Linked DNA regions of Lepisosteus oculatus. The protein of the gene in region 1 purifies or fractionates together with the protein of each later gene. This does not show direct contact. Links are inferred from orthologs where the notes say so. Each region holds a gene or a part of one and is shown in the gene's direction. Other genes may lie near its edges. The genes, in order: wdr20a, phlpp2, fbxw5 and phlpp1.

Region 1 (6,911 bases):
GGGCGCGGACCTAAAGAAAGTAACAGTGATAGGGGCACTTTTTGCAGCTGTCCTGGTCTTCCCTTTTAGGGATGCAGAGTTGCAACAGGGCCCCGCCAATCACCCCTGCACCACCGGGCCCTGGCCAGAGAGCAAGGCCTGCCCAGCGCAGCAGCTGTCTGTGAACCTCACCACCACAGCTGAGGCCAAGACCCGCTCCTTCACATGTAAAAGATAAAAACCTGGGACCGGACGGATCCTCCGGCCTTCTTTATCCCAACCCGACTGTCCATCACACCACACAACCGTCAACGTGCTCCCAAAGAAGCATACTCCTGTCTATTGTGCACGGCAAAAAAGGAAGCACTAGCATTCATATTCTCAGTATACATCAGATTAATAGATTCACATGCGTAGGATGAGGCACATTATACAACACCCAACCCCTGAACCTTAGCTGTCTTACATAAGCAAAGCATAAAATAATGTTTTTTTTTTTTTAACCCATGAGAACTGAAAACAGCTTTGAATCTCCCAGGATATACAGGATGTTACTATGGTCTGTGTAGATATTCCAGGAGTGGCACGTGTTTTTGCTCGTCTGTGATATTACATCAATGTACAGTATGTTTTGTGGGACTAGGTTTGTAATATTGTGATATTAATACGATGCTGTTTACATTTGTAGGATAACCAGAGAAGCAGTGCTAGGAGGATCTGAAGAATAGTCTTTAGCACTGATAGGCAGAATGATCAGGGAAATTATTTGGGACAGGTAGAGAAAAACGTCGTTCAATCATTGCTATGATTAAGATGTATACGAAAATACGGAGGCATAGACATAGATCTTAATTGCAATGCTCCTTTGCTTTCTGCACCTTTCCTGTACTGCAACTGACCGTTCATTCATTCATCCAGACTTTTTCATTTGCCTCAGGATAAGAATTGTGTGATAGTCGGTTGTTTGTGCAGTTTTCTAGTGCACGTCGCATGTGTTTCGTGTTTTTATTTCAGTGAAAATCCGTAAAAAAAAAACTGACTGCGGAAATGCAATTATGGCAATGCACAAATTCGTTTATCCGTATTTTGTCAGGTAATCTCTAGAAAGATCTCGAAGTGTGCTGAACCCCAGCTTGCGCAATTGATTAAGCATCGCAATGTCAGAGCGAAGGTAGTCCATATGAGTTTCTGTAACCTTCAACGAGAACATGCTGGAAGTTCACGCCAGCTCTTCCTGGTAGGAGGGCCCAGCTGTCAAGCATGCTAGACGGAGGAGGGCCAGCGACAGTCTTGGAATTTCTTGTTTTGATTCAGGACTGTGAAAGTTAACCCGGGATTCTAGAAAGACGCGAGGAGAGATGTTTGTAGAAAAAAAAATCTCACCTTTTCATTCTAGAAAGCTCTATATGTAGGATTGGATCTGCAGGGCTTTTTAGGATTTTTTTTTTCCTTCAAGAAAGGTCGTCCTCACCAATCACTGAAGACTTCAGCGCGGCCCTCATCGACCATGTGACTCTTGACGCCGGGCGCTTGCAGTCACTTCATCGTTGTCTTACATATTACTCGTTCATCGGGCAGGCACTTGGAAGTGTTTTTTTTTTCCTTTCGGTTCACAAAAAGACATACAAAAAAAACCCAATTGTTTCTGCTCGTTCTCCTTACAAACAGCTCCCAGTTTTTGGATTGTGCAGAAGGGGTCATCGGATTTTGCATGAAAACGTTTACGTAAATTAAAGAAGGTACTAGTAAGGTTCTGCACAGGGATAAAATGTGAGGACTCACCCAGTGTTACAAAGTGTGCGATCTATCCTCTATAGCTGTTCAGATCTATAATATCAATTCCTAGTTGGACTCTGGAAACGGAAAGCGCACTGTTGGCTAAATTTCATATTAGCGGCATAATTCGAAGGGTAAGAAAATGCGGTAATTAAAAGGTAAAAAAAAGATGGGGTTTTAGTAAGCTTTTTGACCAACTTTTATAATGTAAACGTTTTTGTTTCTGCACTGTTTTCTAAAATGCTGATAAAATGCTGTTTTTGTTTACTCGTACCTTTGTCTTTATTATTTTATTAAACTTAGCTAGGAAAAAGATATAAGATCTTATTTTTGTCTAGACAAATGTTTAGACACGTTGTAATTTTTTTTTTCTATTAACTATACCAATACTTTTGATAGATACGTTAGGTCCCAAATGTACTTTAATTTAATGTACAGTACATGCTCTTATCAGTTTAGGAAAAGGTCGTTAATATGCAGTTCTGCTCTTAAAAGTAATGCTCTTTAAAAATAGTCAGGACAACAGGATAACGGGGAAAACGTTATCGTCACTGCATTTTTAAAGGCGTGGGACACAAACATTTTCAGGTTTTCCCTAGCATCATGAAATATTTGATCTCTGCCACCCTTTAACATGAATTCGCCTCATGAATCTAATATAATAAAGTTCAATGCGTGTATCTTCGACTTATTTTATTCGAGCTTTACGGTCTCACGTTTTGGTCGTGATGTTGTCAACCTTGGTTGGCCACTAGGAGGCGCCATCGGTTCGCTTTTTGACGCAATCTGCACCCGTTATCGCACTAAACTGTACCACACGCCAAAATAACAAGAGTACAGCAACACAACTTCATTACAAGAGAAAACAAACGTATAAAATGAGCGCTTATTAACCTGTTTTGAGGTCATATGGGGGTTGTTGCGTGTGATTATCCACAGCAGGTCAATATCAGCAGAGACGTGGAAATTTGGAAGTCAAAGTCCATAGCAGAGCATAGTGATTCATCCGGCCCGAGCTCATCCTAGTTACCTTAGTGTTAAGCGGACTAGGACCATGTGACTAACCCCCAGCCGAAGATGGGACATAGGTTCATCGCAGGCATTACCCCCTATGGGAACTATGGGTAAGGTACCTGGCTGACGGGTACATTAGTGTCTGCAGCGGTGACTCGAACCCGCAACCTGTCAGTTATGAATCCAGCGGCTCGTTCACTTCTTTACGCTGTTCCCCTTCAAAAATGGTTTATTTGTTTTATTTGAGAGCCCAGGGGCGTTGATGCCGTTGAACGGGATATAAGCAATCAGGCCTGCACTCCCGATGTCTTCCCTCACGTTGCCGCCGTACATGTAGTGTTAAAGAATAAAGAAGTTCAACAGTGTCAAGTCCTGTCTCTTGTACATAAACCTGACGAGAAACATATCAAAGACTGGGATGCGAAATCGACTATCCTCACTCGAGATCGGATCATTTCTTTAAGATCTGCGCACTGTCTGGATGTTCAGTGAAGGTTTTCCCTCATAATACATTTAATTAATTTGACCCTTGTTTTGGTAGTGGAGCAAGGCACGGTTCTCTCCCTACGTGCCATAACATATTATTGTTATTGTTATAGTTTTATTTCATTTTTTATGGATGGACAATCGCGTTGTTTCATTTTGAAAGACTGGTATGCTGGAGACTATACCAATAAGCTATATGTTAATGTTAAAAGCAAATAATAACAAATAAAAAATACCGTGAGTCGTACATAGATCTATATTATATGCGTACACATGTGAATACAGTGTTTTATAACCAATACATAATGCATTTTTACCCGATAACGTGTTAGCAGATAGCACGTTTCCAGCCTTGTAACGTGTGAAAGACGTCGTCATCAGAAACTGTGAATATTTTGAAACTCTCATGCAAGTTTCTCTTTTAATTGACCCTTTGTGGGTGATGCCCTTGACAGCACTGCGGTGTGAGCGCTGACCAGCGATGGCCTCCGGGCGCAGTCCACCTCCGCTCTTACCTTGACGAGCCCTGTGACCCGCACTCCACATGCTATTTTGCAATTAAGGAAGAAGCACGTGAATTCCTGGATCAGCTGACGAACCAGCGCCATGCGAGTCGGCTCCGCGAGCAGCAGTACGCATGCTCCGTGTGTAAGATCCGGGCTTGGGGCAGGATGAATGCTAATTTTCAAGATGGCGGCGGAGGGAGGAGGGAAGGAGATGAACGAAATTAAAACTCAGTTCACCACCCGGGAAGGCGTCTACAAACTCCTCACTCACTCCGAATATAGCCGCCCCAACAGGGTGCCTTTCAATTCCCAGGGCTCTAACCCCGTCAAAGTCTCCTTCGTCAACGTCAACGACCAGTCTGGTAACGGCGACAGAATCTGTTTCAATGTGGGCCGGGAGCTATACTTTTATATCTACAAAGGCGTCAGAAAGGTAAACAGGACGTTACGTTCTCCAAGCCAACGGCTCTTATAGCATTAATGTTTGCTTTTAAAGTAGAGAAGTAATGGGGTATAATGCGGCTGACGCAACCAAAGTGACACCTACCTCCAGTTTGCTTTTCGCCTTTCTTGTTAAACAGTTGTGGTATGCACTGAGCTGACAGCTGAAAAAGGCCCTGTTTCACCTGCTTTGGAATGTGCATCTAGCGTCCGTCATGGTCATATATAGACGAAGTGGTGCACAAATGTGTCTAAACTTGCGTGCGTGAACTTCACGGTGTCTGTGCTTCAATCGTTCGGGACGTGACGTGCGGCGACAGTCGGGTCGTGTGACAGATCTGCTCAGTTAGCTTGTGTGTGAGGTGCCACGCAAAGCAATGGATGTGTCTCCATTTGGTTACTTGTTTCTCATTTTCTCGGGGTTGGTGTTTTATCCGTAGTTGATCTCACTTTCCAAGGCGACCCTGTCTTGCGGAGGCGGTACGCGAAGCAGAACTATATGGTAACTTAGTACGCCTAGCGTGCGAGCTGTTTTGTGTATTGCATGAATTTGCCGTGACCGACACGCAGGTCTCTCTGGTTGTGACTAGGACAGAGGCGTAAGAGGAGACGTTAATGATCTGAATTCAATGTGTGAAATCATGCGTAAGGTGGGCGTATTGTAAACTGTTAAACACTTTCAGCCTGGATGAGCGGAGTCGCTGTTCGACGCAGTATGTAATTTCGGGTGTCAAGAGTACTGCTTGATGATTATTATGTGGCTTAAGTGCCCTATCAGACAACCTTTCGTTTCTTCAGCAGTTTGGAAACCCTTCGTTGAGGTCGGTATTGAAAATGTCTGCTCTGATCTCTGTAGAAGGCTACAGATTTGATAGAAAATCACACTGTTTTCCCACACCGTGAATGTACTTGGGGGTTATGGTAACTCTGGGAACACAGGTAATTTGAATGTCGAAGGATTAAAGCCACGCCTTATGTTGGAAAGTCATGCTGGACGTTCACCGTGCCCGTATACCCAATAAAGCTGGCATTGCTCAGCAAGTTTGCAGTGTCATTGGAGTATGCGGGAATGTTTCACTTTTGAGAGTTGAGCGTAATACATTTATGTAGAGGAGGGTTGGAAGAGTACTGCTGAAAGGGTATTGTAATTTTAAAAAAAAAATACTTCAGGTAATAACCCCAGATATTTAAAGACAGTCTGTCATATCTGTTGATTGAGATTTGTTGAGAACACTGCGGTAGTTCTCACATGTTGAGAAAAGGTTCAAATTAAAGTGCTTCCTGAAAATGTCTGGTTTGATTAAAATGGGAATACTACGGCATTACATTTCACTGAACAGCTTAGTATTTAATTGGAAACCTGTGCCAGGCTGTGTACTATATCCTGCTCTGTCCTGAAGTTGATTTGAATGCTGTGTTCTTGAGTAATGTGCCTCAAGGCTTTCAGTAATACATTCCAGAGCTGACACTATCCCATTACGTGCCTTATCCAAATTTCCTATATCATCCCGTTTTTCATCACAATTGTAAAGTCTGGGCTCTGAAAATACTGTTCTAAAGCTGATGGTGTTCTATCTGCTTGTTCCTTCTTTGCTCATGGGTTTATGATGTATTTTCTATGTACCTGGAATCACTTCTTGGTGGCACAGTATAGACAACTGTAGATGCTTGATTTACCCTTGAGTTCCTAATTGTCAAGAGTCCGAATGTCTATCTGGGTGAATACATCAGGGTTTTCTCTTATCTTTAGTCAGTACATAGTACATATTTCATTCATATGTACATGTATAGCTAGACGATGTTTTGCATTGTAGTGTTTGTCATCCATCACAATGCCTATGACTCCCTTATTGTAGGACACTTAGGACTCAAACACATTCTCAGAGTGTGGAGATTTTGCCACTGGGTGTTGGGGGTTCTTCATGGAAAAACTTGTCAAATGCTTTGTAGTCTTGGGAAGTGAAGTCTATGCTGGTCTCTTTGCATGCAGACAAAACTTTATGTGCAAGTTTCTTTGCAAGTAATCTGACGCATGTCTAGAGAAGTGACTTTACTAGTGCCTCCCTCAGTAGCAAAACTGAAATCTATTACGATTTGTCTTGACGCTATGTCCGCTTAATAATGCTAATATATTTTACAGTTAAGAATTAATAAAAAAACTGTACAAAGAAGTCTATGCTTAAAATGTACATATTAATTTGCATGTATTTAACTGCATATGTTGCTCATGCAGTTACTGTTTAAAGTACCAACTCTTCTCGTTAGACAGATGGACTTAATTCTCTTGCAAGAAAGCACATTTGCAGATCTCAGTGGAACCTTTTTTATCTAAGTGAAAATGCTGTTTTTCCTCTTGGATGGTCTTATTAAAACTATAAGAATGAGGAAGGATTTAGAGCTATATGAACTCTTCAGTTTACCAGTGTGACTGATAGTGCAGATGACCAGGTGGGTGAAAGTCCTCTGCCTGCACATGGAGTGCACATTTAGCAAAGAGACAGAGGATACATGCTGGCCAGGCACTCACTTAAATCTGGGCGAAACATGTGGTTAGTAATAGTAGTGCAGTATGTCCTTTACAGAACTAACTAGGATTGTAACTTTTCAGCTTTAAATTTCTCTCAAAGCCATATTTCAAGTTGCCTTTTGATCCATGGATCTGTGATTCATTTTCGTGCTTTAGTTTTTGTTGAAAGAGTTGCAGGGATA
Region 2 (7,807 bases), on another chromosome or scaffold:
TTATGTATTTTTAGTTGATAGAGGGGAGGAGCAAGGCAGTAAAGTTATTGCTAAGGTTTGAGCGGTTTAAAGGTGCTTTTACTGTTCATTGCAGTGATCTTAAAGGCTTTTTTATGTTCAATTGTTTTTCTTTGCAGAATGTACATTGGGCCTCATAATGAATCTTTATCTTCCATTCTATTCTAAAACAGAATGGAAGATCAAGATTCTCCTGACTCATGTTAATAAGTATGTTCACAAATACACCAGTATGCAGTTTAACAGCAACGACTAAGGTTTGTTTTTGTCTTCATCCAGAAAGTCTTAATTTTTTCTGTATTCGCATAGCCATTGACTTAATGTTTGTACATATAGATGGGAAATAATTTTGAATGTAATGCTATGCACGTAGTACTGTTTCTTCTGTTTTTATGTGTTTACTTTTTGTCATTGTGGCTTGTGATTTTAAAATTTTCTAAAAGGAAGCCTTTTGTTTCAGCACTTTTTCATGTACCCTTCCAATAGCATAGTTGTTTGAGAACTTTTGTTTCGTCTTGTCAAACGTCACTGAGGACAAGACATGTCCTGCAAATAATGCCTGATATCAAAGCAATGTGCCTTTTTATATCAAAGATTTGACCAATCTTTCCCTGCTTTCCGTAAATCTAGATATGTAATACCTTGGTTATATGTACATGTCTAAAATTTCTGCCTTTGAGGGACTGAAAAGATAACTTAAGTAATTGCTGTTGAGTACAGATTTTGAGGTAACTCCTATCAGTTTAGTTAGCTTAGGAACAATGCTGGGAAGTTGAAGGATTTATCAACTCACAGTAGGAGATAAATTCAATATTTACCGGTTAAAAGTGATTTTTTTAAAAAAGCTGACTTTTATGACTGAAAGTGAAACCTGATTTTAAATGGTGGATATGTTGTCCCTTTTTGGTACATTAGGTTCCAAGGTACATGTAGTGCTCCAAATTGCAATGTGTTTTCTTAGCTCTTGCAAACAAACATCATCAACTAAATACCTCACATGTTTTTTTGGGGCTTCTGTTTAAGAATTGTAAGGCATACCTTGATTATGACGAGCATAACAGGACCATGAAACAACTTTTGGGATGTCGGGGGGCATTCATTTACATAAATTGAATACTATTGATTGTGCTACTGAGTTTTTCTGTTACACTGTTTGTGAAGCTACCAGCATTGATTTATTGTGTAGAAATATTTTGCTTTTGCATTATTGTTCTATATTAACTGCTAACTTTTCGTGACCAAATCAAATAAGATCTAGCTTTTGAAAATAAAATCTTCTGTAGCAATGCCATGTGTATATGGAACAAGAGATGTATGACGTGCTTTTAGGGATTATTTTTAGACTGAACAACTTAATGCAATCAAGGCTTTTCTGTATATATTGATCACCTCAATTGCCCACCACCCCTTTTCAGATCAGTTTTCTAAAGATCAGTTTTATTCTGTCAACATACACGTGTAGTGTATTGTTTGAAATGGACTAAAATAAATCTAGTTATTTACGTAATAGTCAAATTGTTTGGCTTTCCCTGTTTTCATGTACATTACAAAACAATATAGCATCTGCTGCCTGTATATTGTATATAATTGTAAAAATGCTAAAATATCCAATTCAAGACCCAGTTATGAATAGCTAGGAAGAAATTAATTATATACAGATATTTAATAAACCTTAGAAGGATAGTTACTAATTTACTCCTTTTCATTGAATTTTTGAAGACTTTGTTCAGTTTGGGGTTATGTAATGGATAAACCATATTTTTCCTTTTTTAAGGACAGACTGAAATCTTTCAACAAATTAGTCATTTTAGATGTTTGTAAATTTTTATCTGGCTAAAATTAAAACAGTTACTTAGCCATTTCTTTTCAAAGATATGTAATTTGATAAAGATGTTTCTGTTTGCTGGTGGATGAGATTTTGTGGGATTTTTGAGGTAAAAGTCCAAAAAATATACTACTGAGTAACACTGTACAATAACACCAGAAACAACAATGTATTTGTTTTGATGAACTTCTTAATCTGTTTATATCCTCTTCAATGGGAGTGGGCCCCTTGCCAAAATGCAATAAGCTTTCTTCTGGATTGAGCTATATCTTATTGCTTCTTCACTTGATACAATCAAACCCAATGGCTGGTTTACAGACAGCCTAAATGTGGCCTTCCATTGCTTCATGTAGATGATGTACATCAAGCCTAACTAGATGTTCTGTCTTGCACTGCTATGATACGTATGTAGCTGGGATGGTCTCCTATTCCCTCTCACCTTGTTCTTTTTTTGCCATTGCATCTGATTCTGTTATGATTGTACGTGAAAGAGAAATGGTCACATTTACAGAAAAGAAAAGTCTGAAGGCTGCCCACTTCCCTTACCTGCTTGAGTCAACAGATAATACAAGAGGTATGGTGGAAAGTAGTTTTTTTACATTTACTGTAGTTGGAAATTAAGTCAGATCGGCTTTGGATGGTCAGTTTTGACACACCTGTGCATACAACTAAAGGCTTCAAGTTCAAAACTAGAGTGTTAAAAACAGACGTGTTTATCAAAACTTAAGGATTGATGGACCTGAATAGCAGGCTGCAGCTGTGGCAAGGGGCTTGCTACTCTTGTGCTTTCTGATGCCAATTGGGGTCTCTTTGCTCTATGTCCTGGCAGTTTGTCATTTGTAGTCTTTGTTATTATCTAGCATTTCTTTTTTTAATCACATTCTGCTGTGCAGCCGTCCTTTAGAAAAACAGTAACTTTTCTTTCCATTTTATAACACAAAAGCTGTAGTAGAATATTCACATTTTCTGTACTGGCAGCACTTGACCACATGGGAGTGCTGTTAGACACTGGGGAGTTGCAGCAAAGAACAAAATTGGACTGTTTCTCATTGTGTCCAGTGTTTTTTATTTTATATTCACCAGTGTATTTTTAGTTTAAAGGGTGCAGTGTTACCCCATCGTTTAAATTCTTAAATTCGCCTGTAAGAACATTGTATGCTTTTAAGTGTTGAAAGAACTGGCAGATTAGGGCACTGCGGAATTGAAACAAATCCCTGGGAAGTGTATGAACAGCAAATGGACCTTTTTAAATCCACTAATATAAATTGTTGATATATGTTTGCCTATACATGGTTGTCTTACTTCACTCCATACAAGGTAAGACACATCGGTCGCAGTGGTTGCAATCTTCAGCTTCAGAGCTGCATGTGCAAAACAGTGTAAATACTCTCATTTCTACTCTTGATGTATCTTTTTAAAATGCAAAGAAAATGTTCAACATACCTCTTTGCTGAACATGGAAAATTAAAAAAAGTTTAAATATCTGTCATTTAAAAAAAAAGTCATAGCTTTGGGGATAAAATGAAAGTGAGCATTCACACCATTCCATTTGATGTGATTGTTTTTCACTATTATGTTGGTTGATACACATGTTGTGCTTGTGTGGGAAAGGAGGAGGGAGTCAGGAATCCAGTTTCCTTCCCTTTTCTTCTCATAGAAATAAAGTCATTTAGTTGGCGAGTCTTCGTATGAAGTTCCCCTTTATGAATCTCTGGTAAAGTACCACATAAAATCTGATTGGTAAGAAAGGATTGTTGAGTTTGAGTCCATTGTCCTGAAACCTGGAAGGGAATGCAAGGCTGAAATTATAATAAGGCTGTAAACAATTTCATGGGACATTTTAGAATTCTGCTGTGTATTATTGTCTTTGGGTTGGAAAAATTATGATCAGTGACTAATAAAAATTCAAAAAACGTCCATAGAAAGCCAGTGTTTTGTATTTATTTATCTGGGACTAGTAGGAGTAGTTTGTTGACTGTTGTGGAAAAATATTGGGAGGTTTTTATGTTCATTGCGTTTCGTTACATGAAAGTGTTTGTCAGAACAATTCTTTGTATAAATGGGACAAATTATTTAAGAGCTAGTGACCTGAAATCTTTTAAAAATCTTTACAGAAAAATCCATAATCTTCAGTAAGCTGCATGCGAGACACCACAGTCACTAATTCCATTGTTCGGAGTGCGACAGCAGGCTGTTCTCGAGCCACAATCAGGTTACAAACATGATTACTGTATACCCATCAACATCATAAATTGGCTTTTTTTGACATTCTCGGTGGGTCCACAAAGCCTTTTGTTTGACCTCTTGCAGTTTAGATTTTCTTGAAAGCCTTGGCACTCTGTGCGTCTACATTTGTTTTGCACGTCGGAGGTCCCTTGAAAGCGCTTTGTCCATGCTGTCTTGGTTCCTTCTCTTTTTCATGTCCTATAATATCTTTCTAACATAAATGGCAGAATGGGAACGGCACGATTTCATCGTTTCCTTGAATGCAGTTCAGAACTGAGCTGAGCTGTGGTTGTGTTTCAGTACTGCTGAGCAAGCAGATCACTGAAGGTAAAGGCACAGGCATATGCTGTTGGTTGTTGCACAAAGATTTCCATCATGGAGCAAAACAAAGGGAGACGCCATTTCGGATTTACTCTCTGTCCGCACTGCATGTCAACACGGACAACACTCCACATTTCCGTCTGCGCCTTTTAGGGTGAAACGGGAATTCTGGAAGCGAAAAAGCAAGATCACGAAGAATACAACCTGTTGAAATTCGGAACAAAGTTCATTCCTGTCACACAGGGGACATGCAATGTATGGACGTTTGTCAAGATTGATTAGTGGTAAGAGACTGACAAAACTGGCAAACAAACTTCAGAGTGAGGGTGGTAACTTAGGTAAATGATTTACAGAGTGCCATAGTGCTGGCTTCTCAAGTGATGTGAGAGAGAGCTGTCTTGTTTATACAGCTTTGTGGATTGATAGCTGTGAGATTGCCCTGGATAGGGACATCTGCTATGCAAGTGAATAGTAATTATTAAGCTAATAGAGAGTGGAAGCTAATTAAAGAAACTAATCAACCTTAAACTTTAAATTTTAGAGTTTAATAAAATGCTTTACTGATGATGGTTTATTCTCAAAGCTGTTTTGGAGGGTAATAAATCAACAGCAGATGAGCCTTTTATTTTACAGTTTAAAAGCTTTTTTTTCCAAGTAGTTAATTCAAGTTGACTAAACATTGAGGATTAAATCTCTAAAAAAACTTATCTTTATGTATTAACACTCTCTCTAGGAAAAAAACAATACTAACATCTGATTTAGTAATCCATGGGACTAGATTGTCATACGATTTTCCTGGAAGACGAGGAAATAGACAGTTTTGTACACACAGAATACCAGAATGCTTATAATCTGCAGGTTGTTGACACTGTCCTCACTTGGACGGAGGAAAGGCTGACTTGATTTTTGCATTGTCAGGTCACCCTTTACTTCAAGATTGTGGTTTATTGCCAGTTCCTTCTTGCCTGGTGTCCTTTTCTGTGTTCCCAGCCTTGTATTGGCAGGTATTGACATTTATTGAGAAGGATTTCTAGCCACACTCCATACGCAGAGGATAACTTTACCTTTGAAGGGTGTCATTCCGCGATTCGCTACAAATGTGTCAATATCGCCAGAGCTGTAAACCGCTTCGCTGAAGCTAATGAGCAAAGCTGACGTTATTGACGAAGAATCCCACAAAGCTGCAATTCTCCAGTTGTTTGCTTTTGCAACCTGCTGTTAGGATTCCTTGCCATAAGAAAAACTTGGCAGCCTTCTCCTGCAGTATAAAAAATGCGTCGTGTTGTAAATGCCCCAGTCCATGTCATACATGCTGATGCTAGGTTAAAATGTATCACTGCAAAATATGACTGGCACATTATTAGCCTCGGCTTAAATGATTTCTTTGAGCAAAGGATTTAATTGAGTATATAGGTTTATATCTCCATTAACATGTTTGATTTTCAGAGCTTTAAAATGAGATTGTTAACGTTAATAATGAGAATATAACGTTCGTTCGGAAGAGTCCATATTATCTGTTCATGAAACAAGGTGTCCACTTTCCCTATCAGGTGAATATTTGTGGATGGGGAGGATCTTTAGATTCTTCCAGCGGTCTGGATCTGGGAATGGCCTGGACGTTACAGGTAAACCAAAGATGAGGAATGAATAACCTAGAAAAGTCTCTTATCGTGAATAGTTAAGAAAGTGTACAAATATTTAAAATAATCTCGGTTCGAGTGAGGCGTCTGTCTTAATGATAGCGAACGTACCCTGATGAATAATTCAGCGCTTTCCTCCTCTGTATGGGCAGTTTTCTATGAATAATAACTCTGGCCCTGCCTTTCTAATGTATATTGATTAGATCTGTCTGACAGTCCGTGATGTTACAGTCTCGTTATGGCGTCTTAGCAGAGCTGAATGGGATTTTTTCCTCTGCTGCCCCGTGCATTGGAATTTGCCAGTTGTGAACTGGACATTTTTTTTCCGCCTTCATCTGTAACGTATTTCAATGTAAATGGAGGAAGACGAAAGTCCAGCGGGGGCGGTACCGGGCACGGAACCGGACCGAAACGATCGAGGTGGCGGCGAAGATAGCGGCTCTTGTACTGTTGCTCCGCCAGCTCCGGAGCCTTGTGAACCGGGATCAAACCAGGCTGCGGGTCGCGGAGACCTCGTCGGACCGGGCTCCCGTGTAACTGGAATACGGGTTTTGAAGGTACATGTCTCAATCATGCTCAGTATCTAAATTTCAGAACAGACACAACCCTGCCCACATTTGAAAAGACAAGGGCCGTTATTACGTCTGATACTGTTAACAGCTCTTCTACTTTCATAGCTAGTAATACTAAGTACGGTGATTAATTTTATGTGCATTTTGTTTGCCGTTTATCTTAGTGCGTGTGCTCTTGAATCGTTCTTTTAATTTATATTCCCAACTGCATCGGTAGGTATATTTTGTTAGTCTCTACCGGGGATCTGCATAGTGTCATACCGAAGCGTAGAGTTATTCATTACTGTTGCTGTCATGATGTAACCTGTTAGATCTATTTTAAATTATTTAACGTGTTTTAGTCATTTACCCGTATTAATCTCTTAACAATTATTTTAGGAAAGAAGTAAGCACGTTAGCAATTAATGTATTGACCCATAAGAGTTACACGGGTCTTAAGTTCCGGTAATGCCCTAAACAAATCTAGTCATTATATCATGAATATTTTAGTATGCATAGTTAGCAAGTGTTTTGAAACAAAGTGATTTTTTATTTGTGATAATAGCGGTGTGCCTTTTTCAGACGTTGTTTTTTTTAAAAATCATTGACATTATTTTCCTGTATGTAACCAATATACCCCGAGACCTTAGTTCATTCGATACACGAGCAGTACTAGTTAACTGTTTCCCTTATGGATGTTCCTGTACTTCCGCCATTATGTCATAATTAACTCATTAGATGTCTCAAGCACCACTCTATTAAAGATATGCGTGCTTACTTTCTACGTATGTTTGAATGTGGGCTGTACGAATATTATTCATCATTTTTTCAATGCTTCTTATCATGTTAGTCCTGAAGACTTTAATGCTTTGTAAATCAGGATGCTCTCTTCAAATGACTGCTGTGATTGCAGTATTCTGTTCGAATTGATATAAATAAATACATAAGCTCCGCATCCGGGTTAATTAAAATATCCATTGCTATTATATATGATACGGCTGCGTACACATGTATAACCTTCATAAGTGTGAAGTGTACCTCCAGAGACGGATTTTAAAGAACAGCACACAGGGATTGGTGGAAACTGCCGTCCTTTGCTAGTGCTTTAATATTACTGAAATATGGCAAACTACCGGACATATTTGCAATGCATATCTGATAAAGAGAAGCGCAAGACCACCCTCGCTCTAAAGATTGGTATGTGTTGCATGTTGGAACAGTGGTGC
Region 3 (7,365 bases), on another chromosome or scaffold:
TTTTAAGAGTTACTCTGAAGTTAATATTTTATTGCAAAACACAATGAACACAACGCAAAAACGCAAGATTCAAAATCCGTCCGAAATACTGTATTTAAAATACCATGCAGGGTTTTCCTTGAGCTCCGTGAAGTTTCCCCCCCTACAGACAGCACAAACGATGAAACCCTCCTCATTCGTTAGTGCCGGTTTGAGTCGCTGTAAGTAGCGTTTGTGCTGCTTTCGTTTGCGAGATATAGCGCCTTGTTTTTTCGGGTAATCACCTGACTATCTACAAGGACGTTTACAGGTACCAACAAACTCGGTAGTTGAACTCTTGATTGTGATGAAAATAATGGGGGCAATTTGTTTTCCGGGCCTGTCTGGTCGGGTGGGGTGGATATTTAAATATATTTCAATATAGCGCCTTCTTTTCCTGGCTGTGACGTCACTCTGTGACGTACAAAACTGCAAAGGCACGACCACCAGATCTTTCAGTTGTGATCTTTTGATCAGTTGACCCCAGACTTTGCAGCCTTTACCCGAATTAACAGTCTTACATTTAGGGTGGAGATAGTTCATTGGGTTAGGTGTTTCCCATCATTCTGTTCCCAGAGCTCTGCAGGGCAGGGGAGGGGAGGAGGGGCAGGCCCATTCTATTGCAAGGCCCAAGATGACCAGGAGGGGGTGCTCCGCTGGGAGCCAGGTAAGAAGACGGCGTGTGGGGTGGGGCGTTGGAGCAGCCAGTGAAAATAGCTGTGTACAGCGTACCTGTGTGGACATGTTTCAGAGCTGCAGAGTGGGCAGGTGGTCCTGGGGCTGACAGGCAATATCTTGGGCAGCGCGGGTCCTGGCTTCAACCTGGAGGCAGGGACAAGGATACTGAGAGACAGGGGCATACAGGTGAGCTCACACACCGAGAGACCAGCACACACGTACAGCGCGAACCTCGTATCACCTGAAGCACTAAGACCCAGAAAGGTGTTGCGAGTGCAGTCTGAAGAAGAAGTCTGCTTGAACACGTGGGTTTTCTCACATTATGAATCCCCTAGTGACTCTTAAAAGACACCATCACCCTGAGAAGGGCTGCTGATGTGAAGGCCGGTGGCAGGTATGCGGTTTTAATGAGAAACTCCCCACCAGACGCTGACTGCTGTGCAGGTATTGCAGTCGGGGCGGAGCTCGGTGCTTGAGTGCAGAGTGTGTACATCCTGCTGTCTGCTGTGCACTATTGCCAGGTGACCAGCGCAGAGCTGAGCGCCGACCTGCAGGGGGTGCTCCAGGACCTGGAGATCCGGCGCTACATCTTCCTCACCTCGCGGCTCTTCACCGCCGCTCTTGCCCTGGTGAGTCTCTGCCCAGCAGACCCATGGCTCTGAGGCAGACAGTGGGCAGAACTGAGGGATGGTGGGGGTGGGGGTGGGGGGACAGGGAGGATGTTGGCCGGGGTGGGAGGAGAGAGGGAGACGGGGGGCAGAAGGAAACGGGGGAAGAGATCAGAAATGGAGGCAGGGGAGGACCAGGACAGGGGAGAATTTGTCCTGCCGGGTCAGTGTGTTGCAACTTTCCTAGGTTCTGATTGCATTAAGAAGGCCGGGCCAGGCCTGTAATGTGCAGACGTCTCGCTGACCTTGAGCCCTTTGACCTGTTCAGGTGTGCTATGTGTGCCTGTGGCTGAACCTGTACTGCAGTCTGCGGGCGCTTGGCGTGGCGATGCACTGGTCACTGGGGGTGTGGGTCAGCCTGGCGTCAGCGCTGGGCACAGCAGGAGGGCTGCTCATTTTGCACCGGCGCCGCTCACAGGTATCCTTGACCTGTCCAAGCCGGTCCGGGTGAGTGTGTCCGAGTGGTTCTGACCCCAGCCTCTCCCCCTCTCCCTCTCTCCCAGCTGAACGTCAACACCGATGTCAGGATGGCGGCTGTCAATGAGAAGCTGCTCAAACACAAGCTGCTGGCAGGACTGACAGGCTGCACAGACCGACACCCGACTGCGCTGAGAGTATCCCACATCGCGGGGAGCGAGGGAGTAGATCCAGAGGGAGGGTGTAGCGGAGGGGCAGGAAGAGCAGGGACACGGGGCAGGATGTGGGGAGGAGGATTCACACGTGGGGAGAGATGGAAAGAGGGAAGGACGAGGAGGACGAGGGAGAAGGCTGAAAGGAGGATGAGAATAGGCCAGTTGACGTGGCTCAGGCTGACAGCTCCATCGGGAAGAGAATCTTTCTTAACGCCCTCAGCTGTGGATGGTGCACTTTGACCTCTGTCCGTGCAGACAGGCCCTCGCTGAGCTGATGGAGCACTGGAGCAGCTCTCATCAGGTGAGGCAGGGACACACCCCAGTGAATCTGACTGCTGTCACGGTGCCATTATCACAGCACTGATGCTGCAACAGGGCTTTCAAAAACTAGACAACTAAGGGCTTTAAGTGTTGTCCTGTACCTGCGGGTGCGCAGGTTTCCTGTTTGTGTGCTGTGAGTGTGTCGCTCCCCCTTTGTTTCCAGCTGGAGCTGCAGAGCCGTCTGAGCCAAGTGTGTGTGGTGGTCACCGGCTCTTCCAGCCAATCGAAAGAGGAGGGGAAGGCGGGGCTTACAGAGGAGGTGCCCCTGCTGGCCAGTGTGGGCAGAGGGGGAGGTGCCAAGCAGCTGTCCGTCACTCAGTGTGTGTGTCTGATACCCAATGGGACACCACAGGTAAGGATCACCCTGGAAACAGATCAGCTGATGCTCCATCCCAATTCCCCCTCTCTGTTCCTCTGTGAGCTTGTCTGTGCGCCTCTGAAGCTGTTCTGTCGCTCAGGAGCTGGCGGAGTGTCTCCTGCTGTCGTGGTCCGGAGTGTACGTCCGACTGCTGGTCCTGGGACATCTCCCCTCGGCTCCCAGCCAGTCCCACGCCGGCCTCTCCCTCACTGCCTGTCCCTGCCAGCTGGTCCAGAGTGCCCTGCTGGACAGCAGTGTGCCCTGCTGCCCGGTGTAGCCTGCCCCCAGGCATGGCCATGGGCAGGCAGCGAAGGGCACTGCCCAGGGAGGATCTGAATGATGTGCGTCCGTCTGCGTCTTTCGAGCTCCCTGCTCTCTGTGTGCATCTCCCCTGTCTCCCCCCCGTCTCCCCCAGTCTGCCCAGCCAGGACAGGTCTGTGTGTCAGCTGTCTCCCTCCTCCCTCGCACTTTACCACTGTTACAACACAAACGCACGGTTTAGGGGCTTCTTTTATTTTCAGGAACACCTCAATAATGTTTTACCAGTAAATTATTTTATTTTGTTGTTTTTTCAACAGTGCAGTTCCTCTTGTGTGGTTTTGGGATGCTCACTGTGTCACGAGTCCTGGGTTTCCACAGGCCGGACGAGCGCTGACTCACACGGACTCCAGCACTGCGGCCCCAGGGAGGAAGACGGGGCTGCGCTGAGTCACGGGTGGCCGATGTTCTTGCCCGCTTTTGTCCTGTTTGTCCTATTTGTCCTGGGAACTATGAATAATGGCTGTAAACTGGTATTTGTTTTTTCCAAATTGATCAGTACTCCTGATATTATGTGCCAAAAACAAAACTCCTTTTTAAGTGTTACTCATATTTTAAATTCATAACTGTTCTGCAGAATTCCGATGTCATTTCCATCCCGTCTGTACAATAAAGAATTTGAAAGCCACTGGGAGCAGGGCTCTTCTTGCTGTCTGGGATGTGAGCAGATACAACACAGATGGCTGCAGTGTCTGTTGTCTTGTGCTGCTGCAGAATGGAGCAGAAATCTGCCTCATTAACACAGCCTCTTCATTAGTGTGCAGTTTAATTGCTTACACAGCCACCAGGCCGTGGTTGCTGTCTGACACAGAGCTGAAAATGTATTCATGGGTCAATCCCCCGCATTTCAGTACAGCAGCACAAAGTGTTAGAGAGCCAACAGAACGCAGTCCTGACCGCACTGGGCCCCACAGACGCTCCACACAGCACAGGCACTGACTCTGCAGACAGATCATCAGCCCAGCTGTGGGTTTTCATGAAGCAGTCTGAACACACACAGTGTCTGAGCGCATTAAAGATCGGTGATCTATGTGTATAAATACACTCAGTCAGGGAGGGTGTTTACGTAATATCCATCCATTTTAGCTCTCACATCAGCCTATGAAAGGGGTGGATGTGCACCTCCAGACCACCGTACTGGCCAGTGCAGACAGAGCCAGGTGGCCAGACCCTGTTACTGGAACAGTGACACATGACACTATCACCATGCATGGTGACAGAGAAATGTAGATACAGGGTGGATATTAATGTAATGTCTAATGGCAAGAAAGCCATGGAAAATTAATATCTGAATAATCAGAATGAGGTAAAGCAGTACTGAGCAGCTCTGAATAGAGGGCTTACATTATCAGCAGGCCAATGGAAAAAAAATCTGTCATTGATTGCTACTGCCTGGCGAATCTCAGCACTCTGAGATCAGCTGAGTGGGCCTTTAACGCCAACAATCGGAGCAACGGAGGCTAGGCGGCTGTAGGTGAAACTTATTTTCCTTAAATGTATTATTTTTTGGTGTTTCTGCAAATATCGATTATTTCAAGCAGATGACTAAGGTCCAAGGCAGACAGAAGCTGCTAAGGTCGCTGTCCTAAAGTGATCCCGTTGTCTTATAGACGCACCGAGTGCTGCTACCGGCCATTTACATCGTTATGTTTACCTATTTTCAAACGCGGTTTTGCAAAGTTACTGTGGAAGTTATGAGACGTTCAGTGTCCGTGCTTTGACGCTGATTAGTTGTGGAAGACAGCGTCACCAGGGCCGATGGCGTGAGATGGTATCGCTGTAGAGGTTAAGAACTATGGCGAGAGAGACGACGAGCCTGCTCGATGAAGCGCACGAAAGTAATATTCCGCCGACCTGTGCTGGACAGGCTCCGATGCGGGCCGTGGGCTCCCCGTGAAACCGCCCCGCAGCCCGGACGACAGAGAGCACTCGCGTTCAGGGGCTCCCCTCCATCCCGCTCCTGTCAGTTAGAGATTCCGGGAAACGACCGGGGCAAGACGGCCCCTGATGATGGAGCGATAAGCGTGTGTCCGGTCTGCTATGGGTTCGGTCACGGGGCACCGCTGTTCGCACTGACGCGAGTGGGAGTGGGAGCTCCTGAGCTCAGAGCGTGAGAGTGCGGGCCTGCCCTGCGCAAGCTGGTCGGTGCCTGAGGAGTTCAGTACACCTGAACACCGCGGCACCTTCCCCACGTCTCCAGCCGGCCATGATGGGTTTGTCTTCCTGCCTGACCCCCCTGTCACCCTCTCCCCCTCGATGTTAGGGTCTCCAGGGTAACGGCTCATGTCACAGTGTGTCCCACCCTGAGAGCTGTGTCAGTCACAGGTAACTCCCCCTCTCACTCTGCCCTCTCCGGTCTCTCCCCCGCTCCTGACCTGCCCCCCCCCCAGGCGGCGAGAGTCAGGATGTCAGGATGGACGCTTGTGCCCCCGTCGCTCTTCCGGACAGCCTGCTGCTCGAGATCTTCCTGCTGCTGCCCCACGATGCCGTGCTGAGCGCGGGCCTGGCCTGCCGGCAGTGGTACGCTGTCTCCCGGGACGAATTCCTGTGGCGCGAGCTCTTCTACCGCTACTACCGCATCCCGCGCTCTGTGCCCAGGCACCCAGGTACCCCGCGAGTGACGGCGCCGCTGCCCGCCACCCCATGAGCTGGGAATGTCTCGGGTTCGATCAGTGAGCCGATGTCTTTGACTCGGTGTGCGCTGGAATGGTCATGTGAAGAATGGAGGTTTGGGTTTGTTGCAGCGGGTGAAACCGGACAGAGATCAGACTGCTGTGCATGAGTCTGGCTGCCGTCCCTGCCCTGTGTGTCTCTGTCCTTCGGCTCTGTCTTTGCATGTGGTCGTCTGATAGTGGGCCTATTTCCCCCGAGTCGGACTCTGTGTGTGCCTGATTGTCTGGCTCTGGGAGTCTGCTTGTGTGACGGTGTCTGACGCTGTGTGTGTCTGCAGCCGCGGAGTCCTGGTACAGCGAGTTCCAGAGGCTGTTTGACTGTATCCCCTGCGTGGAGGTGCAGACGCTGAGGGAGCATCATGACCAGGTGCTGCACCTCAGCTTTGCTCACCGGGGACACCTGCTGGCCTCCTGCTCCAAGGACTGCACTGTCAAGGTGCTGCTGCTACCTTCCCCTCACTGTCACTGTCAGTAATTCTCACAGTCAGACTTTCCCCTGCTCTTTCTCCACCTCATTCTCTGCCTCTTCCTCCCCTGGTCAGATTTGGCGCAATAACCTGGAGATCTCGCTGCTCCACAGTTCCAGTATGCGCCAGTTTAACTGGGGCTACACCCAGTTCTCCCAGTTTAATGTAGACGACTCTCTGCTGCTGGTTTCGGGCGTGTACATCGGGCCGCACCACTCCTCCTCAGGGGAGATCGCCGTCATCAGCCTGGGTGAGTGTCTGCTGCCCCTCCGGCGGTCAGCCTGATGGCCTCTGCCCCTCCGGCGGTCAGCCTGATGGCCTCTGCCCCTCCGGCGGTCAGCCTGATGGCCTCTGCCCTCTCACGCTGCGCCCCTTCTGCCTCCCTCTCCTGCAGCCGATTTCTCCCTCCTGTCCCGCGTGAGGAACAAGCCGTACGATGTGTTTGGCTGCTGGCTGAACGAGACTCACCTGATCTCGGGGAACCTGTACTGGATTGGGAACATGACCTCCTGCTCCGTGCTGTGGCTCAACAAGGCCTTCCAGGTCAGCTGCCGTCCTGACACACTGCTCGCGGTGTCTTCCCTGTCCGCTCCCTCTGTATCCTGCCGCCTCTCTCTGTGTGCAGGATGTGGAGTCCGAGAACGTGAACGTGGTCAAGCGGCTCTTTAAGATCCAGAACCTCAACGCCAGCACCATCCGGACCGTCATGGTGGCAGACTGCCGGCGCCACGACTCCCCCGACCTCCTGCTGGACTACGAGGCGCAGGCCGCCGCCCCCGCGCCCCCCCGCCGCGGCCCGCTGGTCTTCGACCTGGGCTCCGACAGCGAGGAGGAGGAGGAGGAGAAGAGGGAGAGGGCGGTGGCGGAGCCGCTCTGCACTCGGCCCCCCGAGCAGGACCCCTCCTTCGAGGTGAGCCGGGCTGCTGGAGCTGCTGTGTGTTGCTGCAGGGGCTGGGGGCAGGGGGCGGGGGGCGGGCTAGCGTTCGTCAGTAATGAGTGACGTGCCAGCGCTGGTGCCCTCTCCCAGGGCAGGGGCAGCCCGGTGATCAGTGAGAGGCAGCTGGAGGCCAGGGTGGCCCGGTTTCTGGGGAAGACGCGCACACGCCCTGCGGACCTGGCAGCGGCTGACGGCATCGCGCAAACTGACCACAATATCTACCTGCTCTTCACCACGGGCAGCCTGACCTACAGCCCGCACCAGATAGGTACGACCTCTGACCTGCACCCCACACC
Region 4 (7,812 bases), on another chromosome or scaffold:
TGCAAGGTTCATAGCATTTGAAACAAGCTTAGAAAGTTTAAAGCAGCCAACCCAGATATGTGGTCAGGGCAAAGCAAGGGTCAAGTATCCAGGGAGAAGTAAGCAAGAATACAAGAACAAAGCTGAAGTGTCAAGCTAGGATCAGTTCTAAATTCCATACCAAAGCATCGAGCATTGTCCAAGCAGAGCATTAATATTCTGAACCACCAGAGGGAGGCATTGTTGCACAGTGCCTGCAGGTGAATCAACTTTCCTGTCAGAATGCAGAATGTCAACACCTTGTTAATGTAATATTTTTTTAAAGGGTATTCAAATGAAGGTGTTACATTGAATGATCAGGCTGCTGCTCACCAATCAAATTTAATCATGTTTCTTTTGACATAGGGTACTTATTTTAAAGGGCAGCATGGTGGCACTGTTAGCATTGCTGCCTCACAGCACCCAGTTCCCAGGGTGCTACCGGTGTGGATTTAGAGTTCTCCAATGTTGAGTTTCCTCACACAGTCCAAAGAAACTTTGGTAGGTTAATTGGCTTCTGTAAATTTGGTGCTGCTGTGAGTGTGTGCATGTCTGTGTCCACGTGTGCCCTGTGATGGACTAGGGTCCCATTTAGGATATATCCATCCTGTCTTGCACCAATGAGTAGTTAGTAGTTACACTTAGTTACAGTTAAGTAAGTGAACGGGATGTGATGATGATGATCATGACATATTTTGGAGAATAAGAGTTGAAGCACAGAGAGAGAAAAAAGGCCAAGGTTATCCATGATATATTATTTCCAAGTTTATTAGAAGGCAACATTATAGTGTAATATGCTACTAAACCAGTGAATAGAAAAGGGTTACAATAAAATTCAAGATCATCACTCTTCAGGTCTTTGGCATTACTAGTATTTCCAGTAGTTTTACGTTTCACACAGTGTTTCTTTCATATAGCCAGTTTCCAACAGTTATATGAAAAGCAAAAAGTAATTTTAATTATTCCAATCATTTCCAAGTATGTTTTGCTAATTGCCTGGATGTTGGCAGTGTAACATACTATATGTCACATAATATTGAATCCAACTCTGCTTTCATTTAACCAACATTTAAAAAGCATAACAATATAATGGTTAACAAAATGGGGACACCAGGACATTACTTTTTAAATCTTAAGATATTTGTAAGTGAACAGTGTTAAAATACATATTTTATGGCACTAATGTATATAATAGTTAATTGTAGGAAAACGTTTTTTTTTTTATGGGTTGTACACTGTGGTAACCAACATTCACCTGGCTGCAGGGACCACAAGCTTAATCAGCAAAAAAAACACAACTTAAGCAACATTGCTGCAGCGTTGGGGTGGCATGGTGGAGCAGTGCTTAACATCACTACCTTGCAGCTCTGAGGCCCTGGGTTAAATTCTGAACCTGGGGTGCTATCTATGTGGAGTTTGAATGTTTTCCATGTGTTTGCATAGGTTTTCTCTGGGTGCTCTGGTTTCCACCCATAGTCCAAAGACATACTGTTAGAATAAATGGCTTCTGGGAAAACTGTCCCTAGGTTTGAGGGTGTGTGCTTGGGTCTCTTACCTCAGTTATGTAGCATACTGTCAAAGGCCTATATGTTGGTAGGTCCCAACAAATCACTATTTGGTCTGTGTGTGATCTTATCTGGCAAGAATGTCGGTTAAATTAAAATCATACAGATATAATGTAGCCCCCCAGATTCAGAGGGTTTTCAGGACTGAAGGGCTCAAGGACACACACCTTGAATTAAAACTGGTACAAACAGCACCAATTTATGGGAAAAATAGGTTCACCAACTTAAGAGAAGAAACAACTGTACCATACCCAGCCCTACACCAACAGATCTTCCCATAAGCAGATGGCCTGTCCAAATTTACTTCCTCTGCTGAGAGAGGGGACTCTGTAGGAGAGAGAGCTACAGCAGCTCAGCAGCTATACCCTGGTGCTCTACCATGGCTCTGGTACCCATAAGGGAGAGGAGAGGTGATAGTTGGTCCTCTGCTTTGAACGGTAGAACAGAAGCCATTATACTATTGCTGTAGTGTCTTGAGGCTTTTCAGCTACCTTTAATTTGGAAGTGTGGGTATGCAGTGCTTAATAAAGTGCTTGAATTCCTTAATGTGTTGAGGTAAGTCAAAAGAACACACCAACCTACTGAATTGTGTAGACTGGGGCAGTCATCAGCTGATATTTTTTCAATTGCAATAAAAAATGCACATAATGCATCATAGTAATGCACATACACAGATCCAGTAAGTAGGTAACATCTGTTTAAGTATCACTTTACTGTATAGGCTCCCTTTGGAATCCAGTAATGAATTATCCTTCTCACATATGAGGCTGTGAAGGATATTACTACAGTTTACATTAGTGGCATGTCTTTTATAGTCTGCAGTGTGTTGTCTATGATTTTGTAACTTACCCCCTTTTTAAATTAATCTGTGATGATGGTGCATTCTGCTTTTATACATCAAGGCTGGAATTCTCTTCCAAAAGTGCTTAAGGGCCTTTTGTTATCTGAAAGTCTATATTTGTGCTCTTTTAGAATCGTACTGATAACAGTATATGTTTAAGCGTTGCATTTTCATTAAATATCTTGTATTTATTTTGTAATGGTAAAGGTTGTGTTTTTACTTTATATGAGATGAGACATATAAAATTAAGTATTTAAAAAAATATTTTAGAATGAAGAATTAACGTTCTGAAACTTTCGGAAAAACAATTTTCTTTTTCTTTCTCATCTTAACCACTAGATGTCACTAATGTCAAACGTACTCCTGACGCATATCTTAAAAGTATCACTCGGAATCCGAGATATATTTATGCTTTGCTCCTAATGTTTCAGGGATAGGCCGTGCTGCTCCGATCCTTACCAGGATCTTGCTAATAACGTATGGATGTTTGGATGTCTCTCAAAACAACCTCCACCAGTCCCTAAACAGGTCGAAGTGGTTCACGAGAAAGAAAACGTCGTCCACAGTCACAAGCTGGTTTCATATTCTTTGACACCCGGTCTCTTGATATACAGCAGCAATTACTCACCTGCACTGTAAATGGCATCTTGTGATGTCCTACCAAAGTGCAGACGTATTTGAGAGCAACAGGCTGCCGCAAGTATTAACTTCACGGAGCTTTAAATGTGGGCGGCTACTTTAAACTTTGGTTTAACGAAGAAATGATTAATTTCAACAAGAAAGTGTATTTCGATATTTGATCTGTTGAGGTATAATTGAGTATTATCCTCCTGTAAAGAACTCGCAGAAGGGATTTAAAAAAAGATCAAGGATGCTTGGATATATAGTGAACTACTAAAACTTTAAGTAGTATTAAAACTATACAGTTTACAGAAGGGTTTTGTTTGATTAGGTCAGTCAAACGGACTACTTTGAGCTGGATGATATAAGTATGATTTATTGGTGCCACAAGTATAAGGCCAGACGTTAAGATGCCACACAGGGTCATGTGGAGGTCCGGAAGGATGCTCACCTCACGAGTATCATTCAAGAAATGGCAGGAGTAGACTGAGACCGACGAACTACTGGAAACCAAAGAAGCAGGATTCTTTTTTGTCTGTAGCTACTCATATGCAAGTATCTCAATTGTAACCGACAGTGTATAACCAATTCTAAAATGCATGTGCTTCAAAAGAAAGACTTTCATTCATAACACATAAAGTGTTAAGTAAATCTAAGTAATGTTTTTTTTATATCTTTGAGGTTTTACATTACATGTTGGTAACATACTAGTATATTAGTACAAAATGTACTCTTAACAGCAAGGGCTTTGCAGTTGTCTTTGTCAAAAGGTACAGGAAGGTCACAGAGCAAGATCTGTAATGTTTACGACTATCAATCCTCAATATAGTTATTTAAAAGCTACTTTCAACTTTGACCGCTAAAATAGCTCAACTGCTCTACGACATTTGCTGCTGTCTGGATGTCGTAAAATATTTTTTGTACTTGCTTTAATATTCCAGTTTTCCAGGGTTGTCTCCAGGTTGTTTTCCAGGTTATCTGGTTTTTAGAGAGCAAGTTGTGTACCGATATTCATGCTTTTACATATTTACTTTCTGCAACTGAAAACACTAAAATGGCTCGTCTTTACGCAAAAGATAAAAGTAAGCAAACGCTGCGTTATATTATGTAACAGTCCACTAGCATTCACACATCTGTAAAATGGTCTTCGTTATTGTTTTTAGTGTATGAGTTTGGGTCCTAACAATGTTTTACCAAAGCGGTTTCAAGCGTTCAAGTTTTTTTAACAACGCTGAATGCTTTTAGCTTATTTTAACAATTGGAACAAGAAGATCTCGAGATGAAAACAATACGATCACACACCTGAAAAACTCTTCACAACCGAAACATTACGTATTTCTTCTTTCTTTTCACTTTTGCGGGATTAAAGTCTTCTTGTTCCTTACTACCCGCACACCTCCACACTACAGCCTTTTTTTTTTCAACAGCCGGGTGAATATGCGCAGACATTGAAAAGCAGGTGTAAAAAAACACAGCACGTTCATGGTTTCGAAATAGAAAGTTTCTGACGACTTTTAGAATATGTCGTTTTCTGCTTGAATAGTTCCACCTTTCCTGAGGGGGGCAGTGTCGGAAAACGAAAGATGTTTACACAAAGCTCTTTTCGAAACAGCCTCCCACATTTTAGACCCTCCTCTTTAAGATGTCACCTTATGAATATAAACAGAGTTCCGCTGACGTAGGATGTCTGTCGACATTCATTTAATATTCCCGCATATAATTTTATAATTAATGAGGGACTGACGCGCCCCCCTTTGCTTTTTACTTACGCTTGAGTTTCTCCTGCCACAGTCTCCATGATGGCGGTTTCGGCAGCTGCCGAGCGGCTCTGAGAAAAGCAAGAAACGAACCAACTGGATTTACAATGGCGTAAGACCCGGAGTGAGTGGCCAGCCTGCGCAGTTTTGCTTGTGTATTATTTTTTTAATTAACACATTAAGTGTATTTTCTTCGTTATTTCCACTCACGTAAAATGGAAAGTGCGCGGGCTGTGGTGTTGGACGGCAGGTTGGCACTGGATGGCTCTTCCACAGCGGTCGGGACAGCTGCTTCGGACTCTGAAACTGGCAAAATAAGCCATGCCGGTAAATTGAAGAAAGGATCCAGCTTCACTACCGCTGGTAGTGGGGCTGCAGCGGCGGTGGATGATGGCGGAGGCGGCGGGTCGAAAGCGGAGAGTGGGGGTCTCCGAGGGACATCTGCCCCTCTCCTTCACGTAGCAACCAGCAATGGAAATCATCAGGTTCAAGCGGCCACTGGTAAAACTAGTACAAATCCTTCTCTTCCTGCAACCACGAGTGCTTCAGGTTTGGCCAGTAACACTAACTCACTGCTGCTTAGGAGGAGACGACTGAAGAGAAATCTCTCGGCTGCAGCTGCAGCCTCAGCCTCTGCCTCCTCCGGGAGCCACATGAGCTCCGCTTCGTCCTCCGCCCTGAGCACACGGAGCCTGGATCGAAAGATGCTACTGAGGCACCGTCAGGTCATGCAACTGCAGCCGGCAGATCGGGAATGGGTGAGAGCGGACCTCCAGCGGGGTTGCTTACACGTCCACGACAAACTTGTGCCCTCGTACCTCAGGCCAGTTTTGTGCACACTGGAAACCAGCGCCGGGGAGATAGCGCGGCGGCTGAACCAACTCGGCAGCAAAGGAGGAGCCGTGGTGAAACTGGTCGGCAAAGGGAGCCCCACGACAGACTTAAACGGCACCTGCAACGGCAGACGGGTGGGCAGCGGTGCCCAGCAGAGGCTGCGCTCCCCCAGTGCCAGCCCGGAGGTCGTGGAAGTGGCGGACGGTCCTGACCAACTTGGTCATTTCAACTCCGCGAAACATGCGGAGTGCAGGGAAGGCCTGGCATCCCCCCCGGCAGAAAGGCTGAGGTTGCCGCTGGCGGAGAGCAGGAAGAGCCACAAGCGGCAGCAACTGGAGACTGATTCTTCCAGAGTAAACCCGCAGTCGGAGCGGAAGAATTTTACCAGCCCTTCTTCGGATACCAATTCAAACGCCGACGTCGACTTGATGTCACCTGCCGCCGATGCCGCGCTTGTACGCGGCGCAGAGGAAAGTTGCGGACCAAACTCTCCTTCGGATGTGGACAGCAGCACCTGCGAGGAGCTCAGCGCTGCGGCCCAGCTCGCCGACCACCGGGACTCGTTCAGCGATGGCATCATCCTGGGTACGGATACGTCCACCAGCCTCAGCCCGAGCTTGGACAGCGCACCGGAGGGGCTCGACGGTTTCGGGAGTTCCTCCGACGAGCTGGATCTGGACAGTCAGCTGCCCAGCTCCATTGCCCAGGAGTTGCAGCAGGTTGCCCGAGAAAGCGGCAGCGCCATCTCGAATAACAACAACGCAGTCGGCAACAGGCTGTGCGGCTGTGAGCTTCCCAACGGAGCGGTGGCTGACCGGGGACCAGGCGTCAGACACGACCCGCTCAGCTCGGCCAAACTTCCCTGTAGCGGCGGCCAGTGTCAGCCCAGGCCCAGCCTGACAGGCAAGGGCGCCGCCAGGCACACCTCCACCTGGACAGCGGAGTTGGGGTCTGACCGCTGCTCCTCTGCCCCGACATTGTACGTCCAGCTGCACGGCGAAGCAGCGAGGCGGCTGGAGCCCGAAGAAAAGCCCCTTCAGATACAGAATGACTACCTCTTTAAACTGGGATTTAAAGACCCGTGGAGGGTGCAGGAAGAAGGGATGGACGCCGAGATAGGCTGTATGATACGTTTCTACGCAGGTAAATGGATGATTTGGAAACATTTTTACGTCGCATAGCCAGTTGTGTTTGCAGTTAAATGGGTCGCATTTTTTGGCCGTTACGAACAGCTTTAATTGTGCGCGGCAGCTACAGTTGTATCCCAGCCAGAAAGAAGAGGGTGTTTTTAAGTTTGGCGAGGTTTGTGTTCGACCTGGGCCGAGCACTGCCTTTCCCGAGCTGCCGCTAGTGTAAGCCTAGACGCCTGCAGTACCTCTGTCATTAATAAAAGATTAACTTTTGCCTGGGCAGCCAGTGGGTCGTCTTGGTGGCCGATCGGCTTTTTTATCGCCGCGGCATCTGGAGGCAGCAGGTGCAGGTCGCTGGCTCCTGGAAGAGACCGTGTAGACGTGAGGGGATGTGTAGTTTCATTGTCCGGAATTTGTATTGAATAACTCAACTCACGCAATCCAGGATAAGTCAATTTGCATTTGATTTCAGTACATTCCAGCAGAATGTGTTTTAAGACTTGTATTTATTGGTGTGAGTGTAGGTTAAATATCAGTCTTCTAAAATCATGCTTAAACAGATTTAAATACATTAAAATAACGAGACACCTGACAAACCACAGAAAGTTTATACTTGGTTGCAAGGATTTAGTGATGTTGCACTCCGGAAGTTTAAGCAGTGTGATTCATAATGTCATTGGAGCTCTGTGTACTTTCTCACTGATCCAGTCTTTTTAAAAGAGTTTTAAAGTTCATTCACGGAAGGAATAGTTTATTGTATGGATGAGTACACAGAAATTGTGTCCTGTTTAAATTTGTGTAGCCAAATTTGTTTTTAAATGGATAATAAGATCATCCATTTGTAGTAGTGTATAGAATAACTGTAGAAGGTAATCCCACTTTAGATCTTTGCAGGACTCTTTTGTGGGTGTGTGGAGGTTTTTCAGAAACCATGTTTTAACTATGAACGTATTCTGAAATGTGCTGTGGTTGCTTTAGATTCTGCCCATTATTGCTTATTGCCGATGTCAAAGTTCCGTGTTTGCTTTGTGGTTTTAATTTAATCC

Evidence for each region.
Region 2: the proteins of wdr20a (region 1) and phlpp2 purify together in Homo sapiens (affinity purification with mass spectrometry; 4 studies listed by BioGRID and IntAct, with this or other methods). This does not show direct contact. The link is inferred for Lepisosteus oculatus from reciprocal best matches to the Homo sapiens genes WDR20 and PHLPP2.
Region 3: the proteins of wdr20a (region 1) and fbxw5 purify together in Homo sapiens (co-immunoprecipitation; 3 studies listed by BioGRID and IntAct, counting the BioPlex papers as one, with this or other methods). This does not show direct contact. The link is inferred for Lepisosteus oculatus from reciprocal best matches to the Homo sapiens genes WDR20 and FBXW5.
Region 4: the proteins of wdr20a (region 1) and phlpp1 purify together in Homo sapiens (affinity purification with mass spectrometry; 4 studies listed by BioGRID and IntAct, with this or other methods). This does not show direct contact. The link is inferred for Lepisosteus oculatus from reciprocal best matches to the Homo sapiens genes WDR20 and PHLPP1.

Annotation. Positions count from the first base shown.
Region 1 is NC_090703.1:11,287,910-11,294,820, reverse strand, and holds the start of wdr20a (WD repeat-containing protein 20), read left to right. Parts: upstream 1-3,894; 5' UTR 3,895-3,930; coding exon 3,931-4,194; intron 4,195-6,911. UniProt on the Homo sapiens protein: Regulator of deubiquitinating complexes. Activates deubiquitinating activity of complexes containing USP12. Anchors at the base of the ubiquitin-contacting loop of USP12 and remotely modulates the catalytic center of the enzyme.
Region 2 is NC_090715.1:9,959,605-9,967,411, forward strand, and holds the start of phlpp2 (PH domain leucine-rich repeat-containing protein phosphatase 2), read left to right. Parts: upstream 1-4,789; 5' UTR 4,790-6,386; coding exon 6,387-6,587; intron 6,588-7,807. UniProt on the Homo sapiens protein: Protein phosphatase involved in regulation of Akt and PKC signaling.
Region 3 is NC_090719.1:349,277-356,641, forward strand, and holds the start of fbxw5 (F-box/WD repeat-containing protein 5), read left to right. Parts: upstream 1-4,360; 5' UTR 4,361-4,467; intron 4,468-5,383; 5' UTR 5,384-5,406; coding exon 5,407-5,599; intron 5,600-5,943; coding exon 5,944-6,101; intron 6,102-6,207; coding exon 6,208-6,382; intron 6,383-6,526; coding exon 6,527-6,675; intron 6,676-6,757; coding exon 6,758-7,042; intron 7,043-7,159; coding exon 7,160-7,337; intron 7,338-7,365. Other genes in the region: transmembrane protein 268, read left to right, coding at 595-685, 770-882, 1,218-1,325, 1,633-1,782, 1,868-1,978, 2,217-2,297, 2,481-2,669, 3,254-3,559. UniProt on the Homo sapiens protein: Substrate recognition component of both SCF (SKP1-CUL1-F-box protein) and DCX (DDB1-CUL4-X-box) E3 ubiquitin-protein ligase complexes.
Region 4 is NC_090701.1:36,367,192-36,375,003, reverse strand, and holds the start of phlpp1 (PH domain leucine-rich repeat-containing protein phosphatase 1), read left to right. Parts: upstream 1-4,809; 5' UTR 4,810-5,017; coding exon 5,018-6,779; intron 6,780-7,812. UniProt on the Homo sapiens protein: Protein phosphatase involved in regulation of Akt and PKC signaling.